4 linked regions of the Astyanax mexicanus genome follow. The protein of the gene in region 4 binds, or shares a complex with, the protein of the main gene of each other region. Links are inferred from orthologs where the notes say so. Each region holds a gene or a part of one and is shown on either strand. Other genes may lie near its edges.

Region 1 (7,630 bases), on a different chromosome or scaffold from region 4:
TTAAATTTAGTCTTAATAAAAGAGAATATTCCTAGACATAAAAGACAAAAACAAATACTCTAGTGTTTAAAATATGTCCAGTCTTTTTGTTTTCTCTGCTGTAACACATAAATAAAGGGCAATTTCCCTATGACTAGATTTACCTTTTAATATACAATCTCCATTCAAAATACTGTGTAGATCACGACTAGGCTTAATCCCCATCTAGGAAACTGTCCCAAAGGTTTACCTAGGAAGGAAATGCACTAAAATATGTATGTTCCCCTCACCCAGGACTGGAAAACACTGCCCTAAAACAGAACAAGTGCCTGCATGTGTTTTTCCTTTTACTTACCCTAACAGAGCTGTTATCAAACATTTCCATGGTCATTTCGTCCTCCTCCTCCTCTTCTTGATGAACAGGAGCTCGGCTGGTGTCCTCTGTATCTCCACTGGATTCTTTAACCAGCCCCTGGAATCCTTCCGTCTCGTAAAACTGCAGGAATATGGGCGCACGGCTTGAGTTGCGCTGGATCTCCACGCGCAAGATTCCATCACGTGGCCATTTCTCACGCACATGCTCCAGACAGTTGATGGGTGATCGGGAGAAGGCGATGTGGATGTAGGCCAGAATGAACAGCACAAACAAAGCCTGCAAATGAGAGGATGTGATTGATGTCAGTAGGTAAACATTCTTTAGCTCAGCAGAATAAAAAAAATGGGACACTCCACACATCCTTACGGGTCTTGTGGGTACATGCACACGAGGACCCCTGGACCCCTTTGGAACAGGGCTATAGTTGGCAATGGTATCATCAGGGATTAAAACCTGCAATCTCCTGATTAAACGGCCAGAACTTAAGTCCCTTTACTCAGGAGCTCTCTAGAAAAAGCAGCTCAAAACTGTCACAGGGTGATACCAACAAGCGTTTTTGTTGATTTTTAGTTTACTACAAAACATGAATACACAAACTGTCCCTTATACTGTGTGAAAATTTCTTGATGGATGGACCAAAAGAAATTCTTCTTTATTGCCTGAAATTAACTCTTTTCAAACTAACTTCCATTGAAAGTTGGAAAGGTGGTTTCATATCTCTCTTGTAAAATACTAGTTTTTCATTGGATAGCACTCTGTACAATAGTTCTGTCTATTTCTGACAGTGTACCATGTTTACCTCTGTGGCTTTCCTCACCTATAGGCAGGTTTTACACATACAATTTCTATTTGAGCAGAGATAAGTGTTGACTTCTGATTTGCAGCCAACATTTTAACATGACAGGTCCTGTTTTGACTAATAGTCAGTAAAAACATTATTATCTATATAGTTAACATACAGTTTTGCATGGGTTAATTGGCCAATATTGCAGATTTGAATGTAGCAGTCACAGAATACGTGTTTTAAAATATGTTATTGTGCCATCTCAATCCAGATCAATCTGTTAAGGCACACCAACATTTAACCTTTATTCATAATATGAAAGCCTGGCGTGTCCTCTATGTCTAATTACAGAATTACAGAGTGTATCTGTGGTCAAGTTACACTGTGACTTTCATAGAAGAGTGAGGGGCAGCTTCTCAAACAGGGATAAAGCCTAGTTATAGATTATACTTAAATGGAATATCTCAATTCAAGATGTCAAAGAAGGCTTAAACTGCTAATTTATAACCAGAAGTAGGCCTGAACTTGGATTAGCTAAGGTAGCATTCTCAGTATATACTGTATATATAGTGTTCTCACTGTAGCTAAAATGCTCAACAAATATGGGCTCAGGTCCAAAAGGGTACGGGGTAAACAAATGACACGTACCTTCAGAAGCACGAAGAACTCGAAAATCCTCCGAAAGGACGGTGGGAATAGCCTGGCATAGGTGACTGCCATCTTAAAGAAGAGGGCATGAAAGAGGCGGTCCCGCACGTTGATGAGGGGGTTCTGGTTGATGTTCGGGTTGCGGATTCGGTTCGGACCGCCATTGTTGTTCAACGGCACGTTGTTGTTGTTTAGGTTTCCCTGGTTGTCTGACATGTCTAACGCCAGTCCCACGAGTTTAGTGCGAAAATTTGATGGCCATGTAGGTCAGACAGGGAGCGACATACGCAGATACTGATAATTAACAGTACTGCCACTTAACCTAGTTAACTAATGCTAGCTAGCTACCTAACTAACAAATTAACGTGGGTGGCTGTAATTAGCTAACCTGGGTTTGCTAGTTAACTGAGAAACATTAGCTATCTTAGTGTGGTTATTTAGCGCTAGTCTGCTAGCTTGTGCACTACAGTCTGTGCATGTACTTTAACTAACGTTATAAACTGCACCAAATTTCTTAATAATCCAGCCTACGTCGTTTGACTGAGCTAGCCCTAGTTATCTTGGATATGTGTGTCTCATGACATCGCTACGAGTTTGCTGGCTTGTAAAAACAAGCTCAGTTAGCATTAGCTAACCTAGCTACCGCTAACTACTGAATGGGGGCATGTCACACTCCGTAGACGTTGTTTTTTTAGTCTTCTTCTGTTTTTATTTCGGTCTATCCTTAGCTAAATAGCTTTGTCAGCCTTAATAAGATGAACAACACCGAACTAGCGTTAGCTAGCTTAGCATACGTGCTAGCTAGCGCTAAGTAAACTGTACCTGGCCCTACTACTCTACTAACCCAACTAACCAGGCGTTAGCTAGCTACGCTAGCTACAACCTCGCTAGCTCACGTTTGCTCCATTTACCACTAAGCTAACTATCTTAGCTAAGCTAACTGATTTAAATACTCCAGGTCAATTAACAGAGTCTGTCAGTGTTGCTGAAATGTAGCTAAATTAAAAAGAGCTAACTAAACTCGATGCCACTTGCTAGCATAGCCCGCTAGCCTGTTGCTTATTAAACTAGCAGCTAACCTAGCTAGCTAGGCTAAACTACAGTTCAGTCTGACGTACAGCTAGCTGCACACAGAGGCCGTATGATCTGCTGCTCCTCAGATCAGCTTCTCTATTAAACACAGATCCTGACACTCACTCTCCCTCTACCGCACACGGAACCGTAACGACGCTAAATACAATCCCACGGGATTCCTCTCCGACAGAAGCTGCCAAGAACTTGTATCCTCTCGCTGTGGTCCCCCTGTTTACACGACCCTTTTCTAATCAAGGCGTACTTGGGTACTTCAGGAGTGACGAGAGCGAAGAAAGTGAGCGGTTGGCAAAGACAGTCATGCCGATGTGTTAGACCCGGACTCAGCGGCTGATCTCAGATACAGCGCCACCTCTACGCGGGACGACTACAAACACACCTGTGGCAAAATCGCCTAGATCCTCAGTTAATCAATTTGATTCTACCCTTTTAAAACAATGGTCTGTGTCAAGAGCATGAATTATTAAGGTAATTTATTATGCGTCAAGTCAAAACAAAATGTGACGTTAATTTTAATAGCCGTCCTTCACTGAACTAATTTCCACAGTTCAGGGCTTGTCCCCAGTTTGGTAATTAAATTAAATTAAATTATATTGATATAGCGCTTTTTACAACATTTGTAAAACCACACACAGTGCACCACAGTGATGCCAACAGTAACAAGGAAAACCCCCCTCATACTAAGTGGAAGACACTTTAGGATAACATGGTAGGCTAAGATGTTTATTAGATTTTTACTATAATATACAGTTTACTTCGTTTTAATAAAGACTTTGGGCTATAAATATTGCATAGATGTTTACATTTATTTTTTAATTTTATTTTTTATGATTTTAGTACGGTCAACACATTTATTAGTTGCATTGTTACCATGTTATTACAATTGAGTTATTATAATGATTTAATTACTATTCTCGTGTGACTTAATAACAATGTAGTTAAATCTTTATATTGAATAGAGAACAAAATGAAAATTAAAATATATCACAAAAGTTAATTAAAGGAGTAGAAACCTAATTTTAAACAACTATATAATGTCAATGGATAAATACATAAAATGTTTACCAAAAATTAGACATATAGAATTGCACCAAATAAATGACATTTATTTCAGACCTTTAGTAACACTTAATACAGCCCACAATTTAGTGTGTAAATGTGTAAGTTCAAATAACTTATGAGTACATACAAGATACAAAAATAAAGTTAGGGAGGTAAATAAAAAAAATACACCACATGTTTTGGGAAATTGTTATTTTCTTGTTATTGGTTGGGCTTTTTTGTTGTTGTACATGCATTTAAGTACCAATAAGAACCGGCACGTATTTTATATGTGTAACGGGCTTCTTAGTGTTACACATGTATAGGCTCATACAGGGATTATACCATACATTTTGGTAATTACATACTAAATGTCGGAAAATTGCCCAATTGTTCCACTATTGCTACTGTATTTTATATGTGCTGGTTCGTACTCGGGTCCTACTCTCTGGTTCCTGGTTATCCTCATTACTTTATTCGTAGCTACATTTAAGTAGCAGTAAGACAGACCTTGTAAATATTTTGTAAATACTGGTTCATACAGAGAAGTTACGGGACATTTTATTAAGTGTTACCATATATTTTATGACATAGATTATATTTAGTTAGCTAGTTAGTCTGTTAGCTTAGTTAGCTAACAGTTAGTGTTTCTGTTTATGGTTAGGGTCGTTACACTCCTGGCCGGTAACGGCGCTCTGACAGGTCAGTGCTGGGCGGAGCGCAGCGCTGCAGAGGAAGACTCATACACACAGCAACAGCGCTGTAGTTCACTGTATAATCTCCATACACAGAAACTTTATTTTAGTTTAACTGTGTTGTTTCAGAACCGTGTGGATTGTACATATTTTTTCTAAATACGTCGCTTTTTCCCCCTCATTTGTATCAAATTTGGTGAGATTTTGCGCTTTGTTATGACGAACTGGTTAGCTAAATAAGCTAACAAGCTAGCGTTAGCTGGCTAGCTAACAAGCTAGCATTAGCTGCTAGCTAACGCCGGGCAGTAGAGTCTATTGAATGGCTCTCTGTTCACTTGAGCGTTTGTATGAAACCCGGAGACATTGGAGGAGTATATCTATCTTAGTTAAATCGTTAATGTATTAATAATGGAGGTTGTGTATGTGTGCGAGTGGGAGAAGAGACCCAAAAACAACCACTGCCCCTCCATCCCGCTGGTGTGTGCCTGGTCCTGCAGAAACCTCATCGCCTTCACAACAGACCTGAAAAATGAAGAGGACGATAAAGGTAAGAGGAGTCCTTATACTAGTGCTCTCTGTTATCCTCTGTCTAATATAAAGTGTAGTTAGTTATATTAGGTTATATTCTACACTTTATTCATTTATGTCTATGAATTTTAGCCAGTGTACAGAACTTAAGCCTAACACTATGTTTGTGTCTACCACTTTTAGTTAGCTATGCATATTTCAGATCCACTGAACATACTACTGCATTTCAGAAAAATAAAATATCATTAAAAAGTTGCCTTATTTCAGTAGTTCAGTTCAAAATGTAAAATTCATATACAGCTCTGGAAAAAATTGAGAACACTTTCTTTGATTTTACCAAATTGAAATCCTCATAAAGCTATTCAAAAGCACTGTGTAAGACTGGTGGAGGAAAACATGCCAAGATGCACGAAAACTTTGATTAAAAAGCAGGGTTATTATTTTTATTTTAACCATTTCTCATTTTCTGCAAATAAATGCTGTAAATGACAATATTTCTATTTAGGAATTTGGGAGAAATGTTGTCCGTAGTTTATAGAATAAAACAACAATGTTCATTTTGCTCAAACATATACCTATAAATAGTAAAATCAGAGAAACTGAAGTGGTCTTTTAATTATTTCCAAAGCTGTATTATATAAATGTTTTATACACAGTAATCTATTATCTATAGTTGAAGATGATGACAAAAATCAGTATCTCAGAAAATCAGAATATTATATAAGACCGATTGGTACTTGTGGCGGTGTGGGCAGTGTGCCGAATTCTGCTGCAAAATGAAATCTGCATCTCTAGGAATCATTAAGTGCTGTAAGATTTTCCGGGAAAACATTGCACTGATTTTGGATTTGATTTAACACAGTGGACCAAAACCAGCAGATGACATGACTATCCAAACCATCACTGATTGTGGGAACTTCACACTAGACCTCAAGCAGCTTGGACTGTGTGCCTCTCCACTCTTCCTACCGATTCTGATTCCTTGAGTTCTCTGATCCCTTGATTATTTATAGCAATATTTTGAGCATACACACAATTGTGCTGCACATAATCCAGTTAAACATTACTGATTAAACTCTCTGTAATGTAATAGTGATGCTCATCAGTGTTCTTTTAGCAGTAATGTCATCCAAATATGCTTCGATATCACAAAAATTGAACACAATGCAATACAATGTAGAAAGAAGCCCTCTTCTATTGCACATACAGATGTTACATATTTTATAATATGCAATAGTATTGTGTTATTTGTATTAGTTGCTATTTACTGGAAAGATTTATGGGTTGTTTTTGTTTAATTGTTTTGCACTTTATATGCATGCACTAAATATTCCACACTTTGGTATTGCGCTAGATTTGTTGCTAAATTTTTTTGTTGTTACATTGCTTATTTTGTTATATATTTTTTGTACGAAACCTGAGACTTCATCATTTATTGGTTTGCTCTGTTGAAGCTGTTTTCTTTTGTGTATCATGGATATATATTTTTTCCCCTTAGTGCAGTCTAAGTGTTTAACATAGTACATTTTTTGCTTTAGAACTCAGTCACATGATTCATATCATTGACACTGAACACCCCTGGGATGTCTACTCCATCAACTCGGGTCATAGGGAAGTTATTTCGTGCTTGGAGTGGGACCAGTCAGGTAAGTTAACCTCACTGTTTAAAATTTAATTGTAAAACGGCCAATATTTTTGCATTCTCTCATATATACATTTTTTTCTAAATGATCTAATATTGCAAAAGATTAGCACTGTGTGCCCTGATAGGTGAAATTTTAGGACAAAGAGTATTGTAATGATGTTCACTCATTTTAGGGCTGCAGTATATTCATATCTAATTTTTGCCTTCATTCATTAAATTGTGTGTAACTAGGATCCAGACTGCTCTCTGCTGATGGGGACGGAGAGATCAAGTGTTGGGCAATGAAGGAACACCTTGTGAACAGCTGGGAAAGTATACAGAGCAGCTCTGTTGATGGAGACCCTATTGTAGCTCTCTCATGGTTGCACAATGGGGTCAAACTTGCACTGCATGTGGAGAAGGTAAGAGCAAGAAATTTACCCACATTTTTTAGTATATATTTTAGTATAAGGCACACTTAAAGTTCTTTAATTAAAAAAAAAAATGTCAGTGCACCTTATGTATGAATTCTACCAGTCAGGTTGTAAAGAGCAGTAAAGCCACTCCGCTAAAGTACAGCATTATAGTTTAGTTTTATAGTTTAGTTCTCCAGCATCTGAACTCTTTAAACTTTATGAATATGAACTAAAGGCTCTGCCTCTTTTTTATTATCTCAGCCATTTCTCATTTTCTGCAAATAAATGCTCTAAATGACAATATTTTTATTTGGAATTTGGGAGAAATGTTGTCTGTAGTTTATAGAATAAAACAACAATGTTCATTTTACTCAAGCATATTCCTATAAATAGCAAAATCGGAGAAACTGATTCAGAAACTGAAGTGGTCTCTTATTTCGTTCCAGA
Region 2 (7,669 bases), on a different chromosome or scaffold from region 4:
GCATGACCAGGATTCAAACCAGCGATCTCCCGATCATAGTGGTAGCACTGTAGACCGCTGGACCACTCGGCATCCCATCCAGCACTTTTGTATTGATGGTAAAATGGTGTGGTGATAATCCAACACCCTGACCTCACTTATGCTTTTGTCACTGAATGCAATCAAATCCTTACAACACCCTGCTAAAAATATCCAGCTCAAATCCAGCTCGCTATTAAAAAAACATGCCTTTTGCTGGTTAGGAGCTAGTTTAATGGTTAGGAGTTTAGTTTTTTTTTTTTAATCTAGCAGAAAGCCTTCGCTGGACAGTAGAGTCAGTTACTCCAACATAAACAGATTAAACTCTTTTATAATATACTTGATTTCAGGAAAAAAAAATAGTAGATACCCCTTTTGTTTATTATACATACAGTGTATAATAAAATGTTTTGGTGATTGTTCAATCGCATGAAGCAAAATATATAAAATCAACAACTAAAAACTATGTATTAGAATCAAAGATAAATAAAAATGTATCAAGAAAGAAATACAGTTTTTTAATGGTGAAATTCAGCCGCATGTGCACTCACCCCAGCTGGTGAGCATAGAATGGGAATCAGCCTTCGCCACTTGCCAACTCTCTGTTACCAAGAATAAACTGCATTAGACTCATTTCCACATGCCATCAGCTGATGCTGCCATACTTTAGCTGAGCTTGTGCTGATTCTTCATGCTATCTGAGAAATTTAAATTAAATAATTGCAGGTAACTATTTAAGAATATATACAGTACCTGTCAAAGTTTGGACACACTTCTCATTCATTGATTTTATTTTATTTTTTTTCTTACATTGTAAATTAATACTGAAATCATTCAGACTATGGAGAAACCCATAATGTCATGTAGTAATTTAAAAATGTTAAACAAACCAAAATACTCTGTGAAGCATTTAGGTGGCTCTTATCTGGGGTTTAGCTGTTAACATGCAGTTTCTGGGGCTAGTAACTCTGATTAACTTATCCTGTGTAATAGAGGAAACTCTTGATCTTCCTTTCCTGGGGTGGTCCTGATGAGAGCCAGTTTCATCATAGGGCCATTCCACCTAATGGGTGCCATTTGCTTGTTGTAACTCTTCCAAATTAATTGTATTATTATTATTATTTTTTTAATTTTCCAACTCTGAATCTAATAACACATATATTTAACTATTTAAAATATGTACTGGTCAATCTCAGGCAGCTTTACTTTGAAAGTAAGTTTTCTAAACTGAAGATTACAAAACTCATGTGACAGTTAAAAAGCATGTTTAAAAGCAAGTCTACTAATTCCTTTGATTTTCTCTCAAGAAAGTCTTTATTTTAAAGAAATGGTTGACTGTATGTTCAAATAATTGATATTTGTGACAAAAAAAAAATCACTCCTGTTACTGGAACTCACTACTGTTACTGGTACTCATTCCTGTTACTGTATATGTTTTGAGTAACAGAAAATAAACTAACAGGAATTAGCTTTTAGGATAGAATTAGTAAAAACAACAAAATTTAAATAGCTAAATGGTGGCTATGCTAATAGCATAGGGACACTGAGCACATTCTAATGATTTTCTCAAAATTTGTATTTTAAAAATAAACATCCAAAAATTAATTTAGGCAACAGGACAGAATGTTGAGATTAACCTTTTCAGTCATATCTACAATAAGATCAAATATACAGAAAAACAAATGAGGGAACTTAATTTTGATCTTCAGAAGAACCAACTGATGTCACTTCCTGTTGTAGATGTGACTTGTAGAATGTTTTAAATGTTTCAGATGGGGAATGTTTTATGGTAACAGGACTGAGTGAAACAGCTAAAATGTGTATTTTAACCTAAATATTATAGACGCATAATGAAAAATATATTTTTAAAGCATAGATGGTATTTGGACTTACACAACAATGCAAAAAATAATACATGTCTAAAGGATTTTAATAATTATATTTCATGGTGAAGTTTATATTTAGGAAGTGGGGACAAATGTTATTTTATCAGTGTTCTATGTAGTTTTTATTAATGTTTTAAATTACATATATTACTTTTGCAGTTAGATAAATGTACAAGACACTATGCTTAATAATACAATGTATTTTATAAATATTTTATATTATATATACATTTATATATATAATTTTCTGGGGACAGAAATGGAACCCATTCGGTGGAATGGCCTCATAATGTTTTTGATGGTATTTGTGACTAAAAGTTCTTGAAATGTTTCGGATTGACTGATCTTCATTTCATAGAATATTTTTTACTACCGTATTTTACGGACTATAAGGCACACCGTATTATACGTTGCACTATCAATAAACATCTTTTTTCTGATCTATTTTCATACACAAGGCGCACCGGATTATAAGGTGCATTTTAAGTGACAATAGTAAGGAACAGGGTTTTTATCATTTTTCCCTTCTAATTCAGCAGGTCTAACAGCTGAGGGCGTACTGTAACAACTGTAATTCCTAAAAAAACATATTTTCTCTTAAAGTCAAACGAGTGCTGGATGTTAACCTACACAGATTTTTCTCCTGGAAACTCTTTACTTACAGTAAGCTTAGATTTCCATTTTTTTAGCACAGCTAGATGCAGTAAGCAGCACTTAGCACTAGAAAACACCACCTGACAGAGCTACACTGAGGAAGTCTGAGTGTTCCAGTAACCCAGGGTACTATTAGCTTGTGGTTCGTCTGACGTAGTTTGTTTTAACATGAAAAACACGTAGACTACAGTCTGCTATACTTACCTCTGAACAGTAAAAGAGCTAGCGTTGCGGGTAGCGGCTAATGCTAATGCTGCTCCAGCCTTGGTGCTGGAGAAACTTCACTGTAACTCCTGTATAACGCTGTACTCCAGTATAATTCACACATAAGGCACACTGGATTATAAGGCATTCTGTTGATTTTTGGGAAAGTTAAAGGATTTTGAGTGCGCCTTATGGTGCGAAAAATACAGTATTTACTTAGTTGAGCAGTTCTTGCCATAATATGGATTAAAACATTACTCAAATAGGACTATTTACTGTGTAAACAACTCTACCTCTTCACAACTTTACAACTGATGCTCTCAAACACATTAAGAGGCAATAAATTCAAGTAATCAACTCTTGACAAACTACTACTAAATAAAAATGAGAAATGTGCAAAGACAAGATGTGTAAAGCTGTCTTATCTAAGCAAGACGTGCTACTTCGAAGAATCTAAAAAATAAAACATATTCTGGGCTGTTTAACACTTTTTGGTTGAATAAATAATTCAATCTGTTTTGATTTCGTCTTTAGTATTAATCTACAATGCAGAGTTGAGGTATAAATCTCACTGAATGTTCTTTTATTTAACACCCACAGGAAAAGATCTGAGGTCTTACCTACCTTCTGCTCAGTCTGTTGCTCGCTGGTTTAACGTCAGTCTGCTGACACCTGCTGTTCATTAAGTGAATTGCACTGCTGGCCTATTTTTAACAATATGAACAGACCTCAATAATTTACCTAAACAAGCATGTTAAACATCACTGCACAGATCTCTCCATAACTATATCACAGATTGTGTTCCTAACCTTTGGAACACTATAGTGCTTATACACAGCTCTATGCAAATGTTTTTTTTGTGGCCAAGTATGTGCATCTTAAAATATTAGAATAAAGAAAGTTGCTTTATTTCAGTAATTCGGTTCAAAATGTGAAATTCATATATTATATAGATGTATTACAAAGAGAGTGATATATTTTAAGCATTTATTTATTTTATCGTTGATGATTATGGCTTACAGCCAATGAAAACCCAAAAATCAGTGTCTTAGAAAATTAGAATAATATATAAAACCAATTGGTACTTTTGGCAGTGTCCACACTACCTAATAATATTCAAATTTGCAGAGAGAATATATGAGTTTTACTATTTAAACTGAATTACTGAAATAAAGTAATTTTTATTGAAATGTTATATTTTTAGTGATGCACTAGTACATATACATCTAGATTTTTATACAGTCAAAAGTTTGAACGCACCTCTTTTCGTTCAACGTGGTTTTTTTTTATTTTTATTTTTTACGATTTTTCCCACATTAAGATTTAATATTAATGAAATAAAAGATCGACCGGAACACGTGGTGTTATTTCGTAAACAAAAAATCTAAAACAAACCAGATTATGTTTTATATTTTAAACTCTAAAAAAATTAAAATAACTAAAATACAGTTAGTTATTGTATTTGAATTTATATTACTATATGGGAGAATATATCTATCTATCTATCTATCTATCTATCTATCTATCTATCTATCTATCTATCTATATATATATATATATATATATATATATATATATATATATAGATAGATAGATATATTCTCCCATATAGTAATATAAATTCAAATACAATAACTAACTGTATTTTTACTGCACTATAAACACTAAAACAAAACTGTTAAAAACGTTTTTAAAAATGCTGTTTTACCTAAGAAAGCAAAAAATCTTAAATTAATATGTGCAGAACAAAATATGCATTAAATAATCCACACTGCTTTAGTTTTAGTTAATTAATGTATTTACAATAATTTAAGAATAATTTCAACATCGATTTTTTTGTGTGAATGGATCGGTAGTCGACTCTCCGCCCCTGTCCGCCTTTTTCTGTTGCACCCAGTCCGATGAGTCGATAGTCGAGCGGTAAATCTGGAGGTTTGTTGTCATCGCGCTTCTGCGAGTTAAGTGAATATCTGGATAAAGATGAAGACGGAAAATCTCCGGGTGTGAATTAAATTCAGTTCTCAGTCTGAACACTTGAATAAAGCGCTCCTCTCGGGTGTGGTGTGGAGTGAAAGCCGGGGTAAGCTGCTGTATTAGGTTTGATATGATGATACAATGCTAAGCTAACTAAATTTAAACCCAGAATAAAACCCATTCCTGCTGTTCGGTTTGTTTAGTATAAGTGTAATTATAAATACAGGTAGATGGACTGTAACCTCGTTTAACAGGGCTTCTGTTTTACCCTGATTATTATTATTACGTTACACAGCCGGCTGTTTTATACGAGGAATAGTTTTGGTTTAATTTCGCTTTTCTTTCCTGGACTTTCCCGTTCCACCTTAAATAGTGTAGCGGTGCAGCGTGAAGTCTTAAGGAGCTTCAACGCAACTGCTGCACTATTTAAGGTGGAACGAGAATTCCAACAAGAAGTATGTTTCATCCAGTAAACTAACCTAAGTTAGATAATTAACTACATGTCTAAGGAGAGTTTATTAGATAAAATAGTCAGTAAATTTGCATTGGAAATTAGTTATTATATATTATAATAATATAATATATTATATATAAATATATATATATATATATATATATATATATATATATATATATATATATATATATATTATATTAGTTAGTATTATGTTGCCTCTTTGTATTTATTTACACTTGTCTTATTGAAGTAATTTGACGACGTACTAGCTACATTTGTTAGGTTATAGTGGTAAATGTCTACCTTAAATATTATATATACAGCTGTGAAAAAAATGAAGAGACCATTTCAGTTTATTCTATAAACTATGGACAACATTTCTTCCAAATTCCAGATGAAAAAAATTGTCATTTAGAGCATTTATTTGCAGAAAATTAAAATTGACTGAAATAACAAAAAAGATGCAGAGCTTTCAGACCTCAAATAATGCAAAGAAAATAAGTTCATATTTATAAAGTATTAAGAGTTCAGAAATCAATATTCAAAATCAATATATGGTTATAATGTGTATAATTCTAATGTGTGTAGTTTATGAAAATAATTAACAAGGTTGATGTTTTCCTTCTTCTGTAGCACTATGGTGACCCACATGGACCCAGCTCCCAAAATTGGTGCCAACCAGGTTTCAGACGTGGTGTTTGTTATAGAAGGAACAGCGAATCTCGGTCCATATTTTGAATCTCTGCGGAAGAACTACATACTGCCAGCCATCGAGTAAGAGCTACTGACCAGCTTTGTTCCAATATTGCTCCCATTTGTTTTTATTATGTTTTACTAGTCTTTTGATATTGTTATAACAGGTACTTTAATGGGGGTCCACCAGCTGAAACAGATTTTGGAGGAGATGTGAGTATAATCTGAAATGTTTACTAATGTGTATGTTTACGTGTGATAATTACGCTGTTAGTGGAAGAAAAGCAGGTTTATATTGCATTTAGCATGTCTACAAGCACTTAAAAGTACACTTTGTCAAATAAACAAGATGACTGAGCCATGACCCCAGATGCAGGGGATTGGCCAAGACACGTTTGGTATCTAACATGTTCTTTTTTTAGTTTTAAGCGAGGAATGCTAGGCTAATGTTGCTAACAAACAGTGGACTTGGACTGTCATTTGTCTCATCTCCCTGTAAATATATGTCTAAAATTGTTTGTCTCTCAGCCCATCTCTAAAGTCTTAATTTGTTAATAAAACTAATGTGGTTTAGAGCATGATTAAGTAAGTAAATTTCATAAGTATTTGGGTAGAGCTAAATGGTAGGACCACTTTTCATATTTCTCCAGTTTAAAATTATTAGTACTAAAAAGTACAGATAATAATAATGTGTTCCAGATTTGTTAAATTGTTTTATCTTGCTTGTAGTTTTTTTTTATTAGATTTTCAAAGAATATTAATGAAGTGTGCTTTAAGTTTTTTGAATAAGAAGATTGTGATCAAAATCTAAAACTCATATCGTTGTCTTTTTAACATAGATAATGTTTCTCTTAAATATTTGTTGTGCCTTAATGTTTTTCCCCAACAAATTGTCAAATTACGTACTGTATTTATATCGCCTTATAAGGCGCACTGTATTATAACACACACTGAAAGGTAAATAAAATTAAATGATTTTAAGTGCGCCTTATAGTAAAAATATGGTAATTGCCATTTTAGAGTTTCAGCATTAAGTGTTAACTGTACTGCCACACTAGGTTAGTATGCTGGTTTTGTACAAATTTGAACAATCAGAACTCTGTAATGATCACTTTACTTACTCTTACCAAGATTTAAAATGTTATATGTTCTCTTCCTCAGTATGGTGGGACACAGTATGGACTGGTGGTCTTCAACACTGTGGACTGTGCTCCAGAGTCATATGTCCAGTGCCACGCTCCTACCAGCTCTGCCTACGAGTTTGTGTCGTGGATTGACAAAATTCAGTAAGTCCTAATTAACTACAAAACCATATTTAATGCAGCATTATGTAGGGCTGCATAATATGATGATATATTTTGATTAAAAAAAAGTTGTTTACACTTCATATAATACTCTATTGTCTGTATCATTGCAAAATACAACAGACTTTTTGTTGCAAATGCTGCAAATGCCGAGTTAGTCTTCTTCAGAGACTGTAAAAAAAGATGGACGCCGTGTCGCCGTTCCCATTCAATGAAAATGAAGCCAAAATCTTCCACCATGTTGGCGATCCTGAAACCCGAGTCTGCACAGTAGAGACCAGAGGAGGGAGAAAGACTGTGGAGAGACAGCCTACTCATTTAAATAACTCCGCCCCTGAGGGCTGCAGAGCGGTCACAGGCTGCAGAGCGGGAGTGGGAGTGGAGCTGACGGTCTGTTATTGGTCCCGCCCATAACCAGCCCTTTTACAATAATCACACCTGTTTTGAATTGAGCTGAATAACGTTTTAAAAAACTAATT
Region 3 (7,684 bases), on a different chromosome or scaffold from region 4:
CGAAGTTATCTAAAAGGTGCCACACCTTTGCCAAATCCAACTTGCCTGATCTTACATCAAATTAAGTTCATGCTTTATTTCAGTATTGTTATCCCAATAAAAGCTTCAGTCTATTTGTTTGTTTTTTAAGTATTTTTAAAAAGATTGTAAAAAGTATGGTGATACAAAATGATTGTTTTACTGATTTTAATAACACTACAGAAGAAAACTAACTGAAAAGGAGTTAATGTGAGCGAGAAGAACCTTTACATTCATGTCTATAAATCTTTTAGAATCTCAATTTCAAAAATGCTTCTTCTGTGGCATTGCTCAATAACACCACAAAATACTGAATATGAGACCACAGTAAACGCTACCTAATATCTACAGCCATGCTGTTTAATAGTTGAGTCTTGCTGTTGTTAAAATCTGACATTCCTATTGTAACATAAAGTATATACCAAAAGTACAAATATGCTGTCTGGTAATTACTGTTGTAAGACTCGAGTCTGGTCTCCCATAAAAAAGCAATCTTAGTTTTGATCCCATTTGGAATTGGTCATGACTCAGACTTGACTTGGCTCTAGAGGTCTTTTATATTTACATGAAATAATATTTATCTGGTCTTGAATTTGACTCAGACTTGATATCTCCCAGTCTTGGTCTTAACTCTGACTTAACTAACAAAAGTTTTGGTCTTGACTCAGACTCAATATGTTAAAGTGTATGTCTAAACTTGTCTAGACTTGGCTCTAGTGGTTTTGACTTTTTATATTTATATACAAAAATCTTTAACCTGATCTTGACTCGGACTTAACTACGAAAAGTCTTGGTTTTGACTCGGATTTGATTCCTTAAAATCTTGGTCTTGACACCTACTTGAGTACAAAAAATATTTGTCTTAATTCGGACTTGGTTCCCAAAAGTCTTGGTCTTGACTCTGATTTGATTCCCAAAAGTCTTGGTCGTGACTTAGACTTGACAACAAATTTCTTGGTCTTGACTCTGACTCAACTACAAAATAGTCTTGGTCTTGACTTCCGATTTGATTCCCAAAAGTTTTGGCCTTGACTTGGATTTGATTCCCAAAAGTATGGGTCATGACACAGACTTGACTACAAAAAAAAGTATTTGTCTTGATTTGGTTGTTTTGGTCTTGACTCAGACTCGACTAAGAAAAAAGTATTGGTCTTGACTCGGATTTGATTTCCAAAAGTCTTGGTCTTGACTAGCACTCGAATAAATAAAGTCTTGGTCTTGACTCTTATTTAATTCCTAAAAGTCTTGGTCGTGACTCGGACTCAACTACAAAAATGTCTTAGTCTTGACTCGGATTTGATTTCCAAATGTCTTGGTCTTGATTCAGACTTGACTACAAAAAAGTCTTGATCTTGACTCTGATTTGATTCCCAAAAGTCTTCGTCTTAACTCGGACTTGACTAAAAAAAGTCTTAGTCTTGACTCTGTTTTGACTTTCAAAGTCTTGGTTTTGATTCGGATTTGATTACCAAATGTCTTGATCTTGACATGGACTCGTCTAAAAAAAATTATTGGTCTTGACTCAGACTTGACTGCAAAATAAGTCTTGGTTTTAAGTCGGATTTGACTGCTAAGATTCTTGTTCTTGACTCAGTTCTAGTGGTTTGAAATAATTTTTTCTGGTTTGGGATATTAATCTTTATATCGGTATTGGCCACTGACTAGCTGACTTGATTACCACAAATCTTGGTCTTGACTCATATAGCCTGATATAGCCAGTCTTGGTCTTATCTCAGAATCGATATAGCCCGCTCTTGGTCTTGACTCAGACTCGATATAGCCAGGTCTTGGTCTTGTCTTAGACTCGATATAGCCTAGTCTTGGTCTGGACTCAGACTCGATATAGCCCGGTCTTGGTCTGGACTCAGACTTGATATAGCCCGGTCTTGGTCTGGACTCAGACTCGATATAGCCTAGTATTGGTCTGGACTCAGACTCGATATAGCCCGGTCTTGGTCTGGACTCAGACTCGATATAGCCCGGTCTTGGTCTGGACTCTGACTCGATATAGCCCGGTCTTGGTCTGGACTCAGACTCGATATAGCCCGGTCTTGGTCTGGACTCAGACTCGATATAGCCCGGTCTTGGTCTGGACTCAGACTCGATATAGCCCGGTCTTGGTCTGGACTCAGACTTGATATAGCCCGGTCTTGGTCTGGACTCAGACTCGATATAGCCTAGTATTGGTCTGGACTCAGACTCAATATAGCCCGGTCTTGGTCTGGACTCAGACTCGATATAGCCTAGTCTTGGTCTTGACTCAGACTCGATATAGCCCGGTCTTGGTCTTGACTCTGACTCAATGTATGCCGGTCTTGGTCTGGACTCGGGCTTGGCTCTGGCTGTAACTCCATTTTTATATCATCTTACTCCCACAATAAAAATGTACATATATATATATATATATATATATATATATATATATATATATATATATATATATATATATATATATTTATGTATATTGTACAGCAGCGAGTGTACTCACCCCAGGGCGACGCTCTGAATAGGTCAGGTCCTCAGTGTTGAGTATGAAGTAGCGCTCTTTATAATTGCAGGGGGAGGTTCTGCGCTTCTGCTGAGACTTCTTAAATAAAGTTCCCTTCAGAATGACCCGCGGGTACGTGTTAGGGTTAGGGTACATGAGTCTGCTGGAGGAGCTGAGCTGGGCTCAGGCATTCCTGCTGCTGCTGCTGCTGCCGTGGAGTGTGTGTTACTAACAGAGATCATGCGTCTGTAGACTAACACTGGTGCATCATGAGTTATGGGCTTCCGGAGAAGATACACCGGGTAAACCACTTCCTTAGGTAGGTATATGACACAAGTGTGCTCTCACACACACACACATACACACATATATACACACATACAAACACATACATACAGTACCAGTCAAAGGTTTGGCACAACTTACATACAGTGTTTTTTTTTTCATTATTTTAAAATGTTCTGCATTGTAGATTAATACTAAACTCATCTAAACCATGAAAAAAACATATGGAATTATTAATTATAGAAAACAGTGTTAAACCAGAATATGTTTATATTTTACATTCTTCAAATCAGCACCTCTTGCTTAAATTAGACAGTTTTGCACATCTCTGCTGTATTTTCTCAGTCAGCTTTATGAGGTAGAGTCACCTGGATTTCAGGTTTTCAGTTAACAGCTGTGCTGAACTCATCAAGAGTTAATTACTACTTTTTCAAATTTCTTGCCTCTTAATGTTAATGTGTTTGAGAGCATCAGTTGTAAAGTAGTGAAGAGGTAGAGTTACAGGTATACAGTAAATAGTGAATATTTGAATAATGTTCTAATCCAGATTATGAGAAGCAAGAACTACTCAACTAAATGAAGAAAAATACTTTAGGAAGAAATGAAGGTATTATCATAGGGCAGGAACCTAATTCATTTTAATTTGTTTTCCTAAGAAAACCCATTTCTTCTTCACTATACTAAATAGGGGAAAATATGTAAAAAGATGTTACACCCAGTTGTATATGTTTTTAAATTTAGCCTTATTTGCTCAGAAAATTAGACTGATGAACATGACAAGAGAATCATGTTTAAACTTTGAACACAGTTCAGTGGAGCAAAATGGTGAAAGTATGTTCATTTAGTGAAATTAACATCTAAATTTACATTTTAATAAGTCATGGCCACGCATTATTGCCCATGAATGTTAACCACACTTTTATACATAAAGATACCATTTTTTATTATAACAATACATTGATTAAACGTTTAGAATATATTGTAAACTTTTATATTCTACTAGCAAAATATTTTAATCACAAACAAAAATTTTAGATGCAAAACTAAGCTTTGCAGTTTTTGATTAGTTTAACAATTATCAGTTACATTTTCTGACTGTTTGAGGCTAAGTGCAAAAGTCTAAAATTGGATAAAAATGTCATTATTTAATTGTTTACATTAGTGCAGTGTAGACGTTTTTATCCATTATTTATAATATATAGTTTTTTCTTCTCTGTCCCTCATAATCAGAATTTTAGGAAAATTTTAGGATGATTTTTTTCATTGTTTCATTTTGTAAATAACATTAGTTGAATTACACCATCAGATTTAATCCAAAAATGGAAAAAATCTGAATATCAAGAAAAGATTCACTTTTTAAATTAAAAATTCTGAAATTCTGTTCACGAAAGGCAGAAATTGAAAAACTGGATTAAAACGCATTTCTTCTTTACTATACTGAATTTTAAAAATAAATAAATAAATAAGTTTTACATCTAATTTTGTAAAATGTTAAAATTGAATAATCAAAAAATAAAAAATATTATTTTTTTTCCTTTTTCCTGACATTCCGATTGTGAGGGTCAGAGATGAAAAAAATAAAATTGGAAAAATGGATGAAACTACATAAAAAAATAAAAAAATGTGCTTTTACATCCAATTTTCTAATTTTGCATTTATCCTCAAACGGTCAGAAAATTGAATTATTAAACGTTAAGATGACCCAGTTGTTTGACGTTATTTGTATACTTGTTTGTTAAATACATAATAAAAAATAAAATAACCATAGCGTGAATTAAACAAATAATTATTAAATAAAATTATTAATTTTAAAACATTACAAAAAATAAAACGTTTACAGCGCTGTTGTTTTGAACACGCCTTTAAATGATCTACACCAATCACAGCTCCCCTCCCTTACCCGTGTCGTCCAATCAGAAGGCAGCTTACAGTCCGGGCTCGGAGGCGCTATGAGAGCAGGAGCTTGGCTGGGTTGTGTTTATTTTGTATTTTATTAATAATCTGTACAGAATTCCGCGCGGTTCGGCTGCAGTTTGGTATGTAATAATTTCTGTATGATTTACTGCAGTAACTGGAGCTGTTTACACGCGTTTAGGGCTTTTAAAATACTTTTTATTTAGATGCTAACTAAGCAGGTTAGCATTAGCGACGAGCTAGCTAAGCTATGCTAAAGCTAATGTTTTAGATTTAGGGTTAGATAGGTTATATGTGTATATAGGTTATTTAGTTATATATTTCAATGTATTTTTAGCGTTTATACGACTCTAAACCTCGTTAAACAGTGATTTAATGTGATTAAAACTTTAAAAATGTGCTGTGTTGATTATATAGGCATGGGACCTGTGTTGTGTCGATTTTAGCAACATTGTAAAACTATGCTACCCTAGTAGGTGTGTACAATATATTGTGACACAGAAATATCGTGATATTAAAAATCCATATCTTGATAATTGGGCTGTTCTGTCTTAAAATTAGTCTATTATTTACTGTGAAGCTTTAGGTGTATTTATTGTATAATTGTTTCAGTTTGCAGTTTATATGCATGCACTAAATATTCTGCAATATTATTTGCTGCATTATATTATTTTATGCTATATGATTTATTTTGCCACATTATGATTATGCTGTTAAACTGTTATTCTATATTCCTGAAATTAATTAATTATTTTTCTGTTTTCCTATATCGGCAAGTATATCGTTATCACAAAAAATACTCTGAAATAACGCGATATTATTTTAGAGCCATATCGCCCACCCCTATACCCTAGTGTAAATTTGCTGGTAAAATACAAAATATTAGAATATGTATTAGAAGTAGAAGTTTCGGATGATATTTGAATAACCTAAATTGCTGTATCAGGGTAATTAGTGGATGGATGGATGGATGGATAGATACTATAGTATAGCTATTGCAATATTGAAGACTATATTAAAGCTCTACTGGAGCGCATGCTGTATGAATTATTCTGTAAACAGTAAATAGTATTAAACAAACAAGAATCTGTTTTATACTTTAGATTCTTAGCACAAAAGTATCACATTTATCTTTGAGGACAGATCTGCACACTCTCAGTATTTTAATCTCAGTGTCTTCATGAGGGAGAGTCACCTGGAATAGTTTTCTCAGAGTCTTGAAGGAAGGAGTTTCTGGAGGTGCTGAACAATAGTTGCTGCTTTTCCTTCTTCACGCTGTGCAGCTCAGGCTCATCCCAATTTAAATCACCTCAAATCACCAACTCAGTTCATCAGGTTTAGATCAGGAGATTAATGTGGTGACTAACACTTTTTTTATGTTTACTACGTAATTCTATGTGTGTCCCTTAATCGTTTTTGTGTCTTTAATCAAGATTAATCTACAATGTAGAATTGTGTAAATTAAATAAAGTAATTAAGAAAACATTGAATGAGTAGGTGTGTCTAAACAGTACCAGAAATTATTGCTATAAACTATATATTATTGTCATTTTAAGACCAATGTATGCTACAGATATAATGATAACAGAATATAATTACAAAGCAATATATTTTAAAGACACTGTATGTATGGAGTCACAGTTATTGAAGCATTGGTCATTTAACATGACTGATTCAAATACTGTTTATTATATAAGATAAGCATTTTTTAACGGGGTTTATCTCTAATTGTTAAAGTGTTTCTAAAACTCAACAAATAATAACTATACTTCTATGTTGTACTAATTCATTTGGATTTAACACACTATTTCATTAATTCAAATGGTCATATGTTTGTATTGGTATCAGCATAAATGTACACTATGTCAAGCTTTTCTGTTTTCTCTGTTTTCTCTCCGTTTCCAGACGCTCAGGATGGGTGAGCCACAGCAGGTCAGCGCCCTGCCGCTGCCGCCGATGCAGTACATCAAGGAGTACACGGACGAGAACGTGCGGAAAGGCCTGGCACCAAAACCGCCGCCTCCCATCCGAGACAATTACACCATGTTCGGCAACCAGTTCCAGTGCGACGACCTGATCATCCGGCCCCTGGAGAGCCAGGGCATCGAGCGCCTGCACCCCATGCAGTTCGACCACAAGCGGGAACTGAAAAAGCTCAACATGTCCATCCTGGTGAACTTTCTGGACCTGCTGGATATTCTGATTAAGAGCCCGGGCAGCATTAAGCGGGAAGAGAAACTGGAGGACCTGAAACTGCTGTTCGTTCACATGCATCACCTCATCAACGAGTACCGGCCCCACCAGGCCCGCGAGACGCTGCGCGTGATGATGGAGGTGCAGAAGAGGCAGCGGCTGGAGACGGCCGAGCGCTTCCAGAAGCACCTGGAGCGAGTCGTGGAGATGATCCAGAACTGCCTGGCCTCGCTGCCGGACGACCTGCCGCAGCCGGACGCCGCGGGCGGGGCCGGAGCGGGTCGGCTGGGCGGGGCCGCGGGTTTGGGAGGCGAGTCCAGACTGAAAACCGAACCCATGGATTTGGAGGAGGCGGGCGTTAGCTGCATGGCAGGACAAACGGACAAAAACATTCCAACCACAAAGAAGGAGAAAGTGTGGGATAAAGACGCTGCGATGTGCAGCATTATTGATGAAATGACTTGAATTGCTTTATATATATGATGTTTCTTCTTCTGTTTTTTCATTCAGTGTAAAATTCATCAATTAATTTAGTTAATTAAATTTTCTGACTGTTTGAGGCTAAATTTGAAAGTAGAAAGTAGTTTTACTGGGTGTAAAACTGTATTAACTCATTTGTTTCCATTTAGTATAGTGAAGAAAGGAAGTTTCGTCCATTTTTCCTCACTTTTAGCTTTTAATTTCTAAAACACACAATCAAAATGTAAGTAAAAATTAATCTTTGCCAACATATATGCCATACTTTGACCTCTATACTTGTGTTCATGGCTGCTCTTATTGTGCCGC
Region 4 (7,405 bases):
ACATACTGTTGCTGAACCTAGACCTGACCGACTGTAGCATTTGCTTTGTTAACCTTCCTGCTATCGTCAAATATATGAACATCCTTTATTCTCTTGGTTAATATGATCTTAGCAATTTAAACCTCCAAAAAATTATTATAATTACAGATCATTAAACATGTTGGCAAAGTTTACTTACCAGTGTGTATCAAGTGTTTTATTAGTATTGCATAAATATTATAAGTAATGTTTTGTTAAATCAGGGCCTAAAGTAAAGGGACATTTAGAGAAATTTTATAAAACTGAACGTCATGGTGATCTTAACATTATTACTACACAAATATGTCAAATATTGTTATTTTTGTTATGTTTTATGCCAACAAAACAGCCTTTATAAAACAGACATTAAATTTGAACCATTTGAACATTTTTATTTTTTATTAATTGTCTTCATTAAATTAAGAAAAGACAATAAATATGAATTACAAAACTAATGTCAACCATTTTTTCAGAGACTTGAAACAATGAATGGGGTCAGATTGAGCCCAAAGATAATAGGAGGGTTAAATCCAGGTGGAGACTTTTTTTTTGGCCAGCCAGTGTATAATTTTCAATTTCTTAATTTCAGTACAGCATATGCACTGACATGCCAGGTGTCATGGGACATAGAACTGTAATATCATGTCCTATTACTTTTGCTATGTCGTATAGAGGCTGATGTGTGTGGGGCCTCCTGCATTAAATGTAATTGTGATTTCTGCCAGAGTTGCTTGTCTGTTTACACTGACATTTCTAGCCAGAGGTCGCTGGTCACATCATAACCACACACTGCTCTGTCCACTGTGGGAGGTAATGCCTTCTATGATGTATTCCTGGGAGTCTGGAATTATATGCTGTGGATTAAAGAAGATTAAATTTCAACAGAACTTCAGGTACAGAATGTCTCATTTATCTGGAACCGAATATCAGACCTCACTGGAACAGTTTATACAGGTCTGAGTGTCCTTTTCCTAGCTGTTCCCTGAGGTAGGCTCTCATAAGCCTGTAGAGAAGTATTGCCAATAGAATAGGACTCTCTGAAGCAGATATACCTGAAACAGTTGGCACTATGTTGAATGCCAGACATGGACTAGAGAGGTAAAAAGCTTTCCAGCATAAGTTGTGAAGCAGTGCTCCATCCAATACTTTTGGGATTAGTTGCAGAGGTGGGAATCATCCTCACAGCAGTCTAGTACAAATCCCTCCCTGGACAGTCGAGACAGTTGCCATAATGTCTCAAATAACAGAGAACAGTGAATAAGCAGGTATCTCAGTATTTTTGTCTGTAAAATGTTCATTGTAGTGTAAAGTGTACATTGTAGTTTATTTCATAACAGTGTATAACAACTTTATTACAATATGTTAATAGGTTATGACAGTACACCTTATATAACTGCACTGTTTATTATACTATCTAACAGCTGGTGTCAAACGAAATGGGTTCCGAGTGGTCCAGCGGTCTAAGGCACAGCCACTATGACCGGGAGATCTCCAGTTCTTATCCGAATCCTGTTTATGTAGCTTGCCATCAGCTACCGGAGCCCCGAGAGAGCACAATTGGCCTTGCTCTTTCTGGGTGGAATCTGATCAGCACAAGGCATCTGTAAGCTGATGAATCAGAACCAAGTCGCTCCGCTTTCCTCTGAGTGTGATGCTACTCGGCAATGCCGCATCAGCAGCAGTTCGAAAAGAGGCGATGACTGACTTCACCCGGAGTCTTCACCCTCCTGGTGTTGGGGCATCACTAGTGATAGGGGGAGTCCTAATGAGTGGCTTGGGTAATTGGCTGTGTAAATTGGGGTAAAGAGGATAAAAAAAACTTTAAGTAAAGTGGAATTATGACAATTTGTGTTGCATTTACAATCAAATGACAAAAAATAGTAATTAATTGATACTGTTTTTCTGTTTTTTATCTTACTTTTGTCTATTACATTTCATGTTTATTTTAGCTGGGTTAATTGTGAAAAAATGTTAGATACATATTACTATGAGTGTGTAAATATAAATACATGTTTAGAATTGGCAAGTTTAAAGACATCTTACTGGCCTTCTTGCAAAAAGTAAGCAGTGAAGTAATGAGATAGGAATTCATACTGTAAAGTGTTATGGGTGTAATTTTCTTATACATGATGCAATTGCTCAGCAGAGATATGGAGAGTTATCTTTTTAATATGTGCACTCCTTCATCAGCTGATGATAAATGTGGAAGCTGTGTCATTCCTGTCAATCATAAGACATGGTTAGGTTCATATCCTCTTTAACCCTTTCACATCCAAATTCAGAGGAAAAGAATATGCACATGATCATTCTAAACACAGTCATACATCCTATTCTTTCACAAACAATATATGGCTGTAATTACTGTTTATTTGTTTGTTTGGATTCTTTCTTAATCTAACTTATTTAGAAACATTTTTCAGTTATTTTAAATTGCTCAGGAACTCAATGGAAACATGGAAAAGTTTCAGAATGGAAGCTAATCTCATCTCTGGCAGAAAGAAGGTAGCTGACCAATGTTGGCTTACTAATGGCAAAGCTGGTTATTGGCATTTTTCTCAGCATTTTCTGGGAGACTTGCCAGATACTTTTGTTTTCTTTTATAAAGTAGATTAGAAAAGAGTATTCATTCATTTTCAATTAAATCATTTTATTTCAGACCTAGTCATTATTATATTTGTAATAACTGCCGTCATTATTTTTTCAAATAAAAGTCTCTGTGCATTTATAATATAGTTGGTGAATGAGCTAGTTAAATTAGATTATTGTGCATTAAAATGATCTGGATGTATCAACATTGTCAGTCAGTGGGGTGCTGAACTTAAAATATATCAAAATATATGCTTGCCATACAGGATGGTAATAACTACACAATCACAGTCTGACAAATTGACTGTGTAGATTTTTAATACGCTCAACACTAATAGTGCCTATCTAAATGAGATATTTAGTTGTGGGGACAACCTATTAAGACGTGGGAACAAAATAATTAAGTCATGGTCCCAACTTATTAAGGCATGGGAACAAAATAATTAAGTCATGGGGACGACTTCTTAAGGCATGGGAATGACATCATTAACGCTTTAATAAGTCATCGCCACATGTTACTATTTTTTTTTTTTACATGATATCACCATAGAACTGTACTGCTTGGAAAGTTTACACACTACATTAAAAACTCATGTAAAAACTCATTTTTTATTAGTCTGCAAAATGACTTTTGTGCTTGGACTTGACACACAGAAGGTCTGACACACTTCATCTTCATCTAAAACACAGTGGCATATTAGAGGGAGCATGCCTTTATCTTCTTCTGCTTTTTCATCTTTTTTCTTTCTTTTTTCCTCTCTGTTTTGTATTTTCTTTTCTTTTTTTTTCTTCTGCTTATGGTGTGTTTAATTGGGTATCAGCGCCTCTAGCGTCGAGATGAGGTTCTGTCCCTCTCTCTCTCTCTCTCTCTTTTTTCTATCAAAAGAGGCTGAAAACGCTGCTGTAATCCCTTTGCTTTGATCACGTGCTTTTTTTGTGCTCTACTTTGCCAAATAGGAAAGCGAGTCTCTGTCGAAGCCTGGCGGCCGCCATTACATAGCTATGCGTGGTGGGCTGTCGAATAGCGCGAAAAGCTGCCAGCGACTGTTAGCGTAAGCACACACACACTACACTGTTTCTCACACACACACCGTCTCTATCTCTCTGTCTCTGCCTCTCTCTCACTCTCACACAGACACACACACATAAAAAAGTCACAGACACACACATATAGGCTACACTGTTTGTCACATCTACAGTATCTCTGTCTCTCTCACACACATACATATACACAGTCACACACAGTGGCTACACTTTTCCTCACAAATACAATATCTCTCTCTTACACACACACAAACACAAAGTCACACACACATATGCTACACTGTTTCTCTCTCTCTTACACACATACACACATATTTACACAAAGTTACACACATACACACAAATAGGCTACACTGTTTCTCTCTCTCACACACAGCCTCTCTCTCTCTCAATTTAATTCAATTCAATGTGCTTTATTGGCATGATAAATAGTGATACATTTCTGTTGCCAATGCCTGAGTTATACAGTTTTAACAGTAAATAATAGTGGACTGTCTCAGAGATTAACAATTTCTAAAGTGTAGAAATTAACAATTTCTAGAAAACAATTATCTATTTCTCTCACACACACAAACACATACATACACACACATAAGCTACACCGTTTCTCACAAACACACTGTCTCTCTAAAACACACATACACACACATAAAGTAAGACCCCTCTATTTGCATAGCCTCCATCCAAACACAGAGCGTGCGTCGCGTGTGTTGTGTGTGTTTTTTTTTAAGGATCCAGGAGCCTCGCTCTGTTCGATTTGTCCTCGGAGTGTCTCGGAAGCGCTCGGAACCTCTCGCTCGCGCTCGGCAGCTCTCGGCGACTCGGGGAAACAGCGGCTAAACAGTGCAACAGTGACGGATGGCACGCCGTGGACGCTTTCGGAGAGAGCTCGCTGTGTGATTTCTGGCCGACTCGAGCAGGGCAGATAGCTGAGGAGGCTCGTCAGACGGCCGTGTTTACTCGGTGACTGGAGCTATCGGCGGTGGATCTGTTCCTTATCTAGCTTATCCTGTATCTTAGTTATCTATCTGTCTGTCAGCGACTCGGACTCGTTTCTGGCTTTTGTTTGATTTTATTTAGCTTTACTTCTACAAGAAGAAGAAGGAGAACAAGAAGAAGAGAAACTGGCGAGAGAGAGAGAAAGAGAGAAATATCTCCGGGAGAGGACGTTACGTTATTTCGTAATTTCGTTCTACTTAGCTAACTAGCTAGTTATGTTTATAACCAGAGAAAGGAAGGAAGTTTTTTCCCCTTTCTCTTCAGTTTTTTTCCTTTCTCTTCTGTTTGTTGGTTTTTAGCTTATCTAAGAAAGCTAAGCTAGGTTTGGTAGCTAAGGAAGATTGCAGTTGCTGCTGCTGTTTGTTGCTACGGCTGCTGCTGCTGTTGTTGTTAGCTAGCGTTAATGTTAGCTTAATGTTGTTTTCTTATTGTTTTAACTAGCTAAACAGGTTAACTAGCTTTGCGTTAGCTAGCTAGGTTAGCTGACTAACTAGTTATCTTAACTAACTGCATAGCTAATAAGGTTTCTTTAGCTGGTTAAACATGTTCGTTTGTTGTCTTCGCTAGGTGGCTAACTAACGTTACCTCCTTCCCTAGTCTCTCTCTTTCTGTGACTGGGTGACTGAGAGACTGATAAAGAGAGAGAAAGAAAGAGAGTGAGGGAGGGAGTGAGAGAGTGAGGACAAGAAGAGGAGGGTCAGGTTTTTATTTTTAGCTCCTCCAGAACGCTAGTTAACTAGCTGGGGTTAGCTAGCTTGCGTTAGTTGCAAAGTGAAACGAGGATTTTTCACCATTCTTCCTTCCTCCCTTGCTCAGAAGCCAGACTGTGTTGTTGCTCGCGTATCAGGGGAAGAGTGAGGACGGCTCTATAAATAGCTCCAAAGAGAGGGAGAGAAACTACATCGACGTTAGCCAGCTAGTATCATTTTCTCTCGTGTGCCCCCTCTCTCTATCTATCGCTCTCTCTCCTCAGTCTGTGTGTGTGAGTGTGTGTGTTTTTTGCCGCCTTCTCTCATATATGGAGGGCTGTGGGGGAGTCAATGGAGTCCGCTCACTCGCTCCGCGCTTCTGTATTGTTCCTAAACAGAGACGCTTCAGTGGATTATACTAGCCATAGCGAGCTACAAAACTGAAACTTGAACTGGGAGCACGCCGATATTGAGACGTGTCCTCTTTTTTGTGTGGATTTTTTTTGTTGTGTGCAAGAAAAAAGGAGAAAGAACCGAGAGGATTGGAGAGAAGGAAGGAAAGAAAGAAAGGGCATAACTGGTCCTGGCTCTTGCTTTTTTGAATTACATTTATTTTTTTTCTTCTCCCGTGGATTACTAGGATATACTGTGATTATAGATATGCTATTACAGTTATTGTATTAGTAGTAGAAGAAAAAAACAAAAAACAAGTCAACTGGCATGGACAAGGATGGTCAAATCATCTCACGGCGGCTAGGAGGATTAAACACACGGAGGATCATCATCATCATACCCACCGCCACCGCATCGCCACAGACAATGATTCGGTTTCAGCCGCCTGACGAGAAGCATCCGAGCCACCCCGAGCTCGTGTGGATGGAAACAAAGTGTTAGTGCTAGCGCTAGTTTTCAGTTTTCGCCCCGAAGAAAAGAAAAAAAAGCGGAGACGGAGAAAGGAAGGAAGGAATTAAACCCTAAGGCATTCCTACGGATTCGCTACAGTGTTTTAAAAAAAGAGAGAGAGAGAGAGAAAGAGAGAAATCACGCCTCCGCTGGTTTACACTGCGTTGTTCCTCTCAGTCTGCTGGCTTTCTCCGTGATTTTTCTATATTTGTTGCTTGCTTTACTACTGAAGGAATCGTTCATCCACCTTCTTCAACCGACAACCAACCTACCCACCTACCTTCCTTCCTAAGTACCTGCCTAACTACCCCCTCTCAGAACCCTCTGCTCGGTTCTGATACCGATCGAGGATCTCGACATGCCCTACGCTGACGAGCCCATCGGCGGACGATTATGACTACAGCAGCGAACTGGGTGGCTAACGGGGCGAGCCTTGAAGACTGCCATTCCAACCTTTTCTCTCTGGTACGGTCAACCAACCTACTTCTATACACTCACTTATGTCCCATAGAGTCTAGCTAGCTAGTGGCAGCGATTGGGCTGGAGGGGGGAATGAAGCAGCTGAGGGGGTGTGGTGGTGGTGGTGTTGGGTGGGTGGGTTTGTGGGGTTTGTGCCTGACTGCCTGGAAGTGTGTGTGTGTGTGTGTGTATGTATGTATATGTGTGTCTGTGTGTTGGTTGTGGGGTTCTCCTTGAGGGCAGGGACCAATCAACCATCCACCCACCACCAGCCTACTGTTCTCAAGGTACAAAGGTGAAGCAATCTCTGGTAGCCTACTGTTATTAGCCAATCATTAACATGCCAAAAGAGCCTGAGAGCTGGGCTGGCTTGGAAAGGTAGGTTAACATTTCTTTTTTTGGCAGTCTGCCTCCTCATGAAATGAGCTTGAGGGCTACTGTACTGTTCCCCACGGTGTGGTGGTCAGGAGTGGTCAGGATTCATACTCACCATTCATCATGCCATTGAAAAAAGAAAGGAAAGAGATGCCTTGCTTTGGCAGACAGTTCATAATGGCCAGCTGCTACTGTATGGTATGGTTGGTAGTTGATTGGGAATGTTGTGCTGCTATTGCTCGGGTTGCTTGTTACACACACACACACAGGCAAATCTGTTTACTCAAGTTTCAGACAAAAACCCTTTGGGGAAAGGAGAGACAGGTTCAGCT

The links.
Region 1: mediator of RNA polymerase II transcription subunit 13-like (region 4) and med16 share a complex: the UniProt entries of both Homo sapiens proteins name them as parts of the mediator complex. The link is inferred for Astyanax mexicanus from reciprocal best matches to the Homo sapiens genes MED13L and MED16.
Region 2: mediator of RNA polymerase II transcription subunit 13-like (region 4) and med25 share a complex: the UniProt entries of both Homo sapiens proteins name them as parts of the mediator complex. The link is inferred for Astyanax mexicanus from reciprocal best matches to the Homo sapiens genes MED13L and MED25.
Region 3: mediator of RNA polymerase II transcription subunit 13-like (region 4) and med7 share a complex: the UniProt entries of both Homo sapiens proteins name them as parts of the mediator complex. The link is inferred for Astyanax mexicanus from reciprocal best matches to the Homo sapiens genes MED13L and MED7.

Annotation. Positions count from the first base shown.
Region 1 is NC_064423.1:18,117,335-18,124,964, forward strand, and holds the start of med16 (mediator of RNA polymerase II transcription subunit 16), read left to right. Parts: upstream 1-4,617; 5' UTR 4,618-5,023; coding exon 5,024-5,162; intron 5,163-6,681; coding exon 6,682-6,789; intron 6,790-7,019; coding exon 7,020-7,189; intron 7,190-7,630. Other genes in the region: tmem259 (membralin), read right to left, coding at 335-631, 1,788-2,003. UniProt on the Homo sapiens protein: Component of the Mediator complex, a coactivator involved in the regulated transcription of nearly all RNA polymerase II-dependent genes.
Region 2 is NC_064426.1:18,402,137-18,409,805, reverse strand, and holds the start of med25 (mediator of RNA polymerase II transcription subunit 25), read left to right. Parts: upstream 1-4,655; 5' UTR 4,656-4,842; intron 4,843-5,826; 5' UTR 5,827-5,830; coding exon 5,831-5,967; intron 5,968-6,053; coding exon 6,054-6,099; intron 6,100-7,047; coding exon 7,048-7,172; intron 7,173-7,669. UniProt on the Homo sapiens protein: Component of the Mediator complex, a coactivator involved in the regulated transcription of nearly all RNA polymerase II-dependent genes.
Region 3 is NC_064417.1:49,420,441-49,428,124, forward strand, and holds the start of med7 (mediator of RNA polymerase II transcription subunit 7), read left to right. Parts: upstream 1-4,679; 5' UTR 4,680-4,827; intron 4,828-6,610; 5' UTR 6,611-6,619; coding exon 6,620-7,363; 3' UTR 7,364-7,684. Other genes in the region: itk (tyrosine-protein kinase ITK/TSK), read right to left, coding at 2,507-2,662. UniProt on the Homo sapiens protein: Component of the Mediator complex, a coactivator involved in the regulated transcription of nearly all RNA polymerase II-dependent genes.
Region 4 is NC_064408.1:20,292,865-20,300,269, forward strand, and holds the start of mediator of RNA polymerase II transcription subunit 13-like, read left to right. Parts: upstream 1-4,395; 5' UTR 4,396-6,632; coding exon 6,633-6,704; intron 6,705-7,405. UniProt on the Homo sapiens protein: Component of the Mediator complex, a coactivator involved in the regulated transcription of nearly all RNA polymerase II-dependent genes.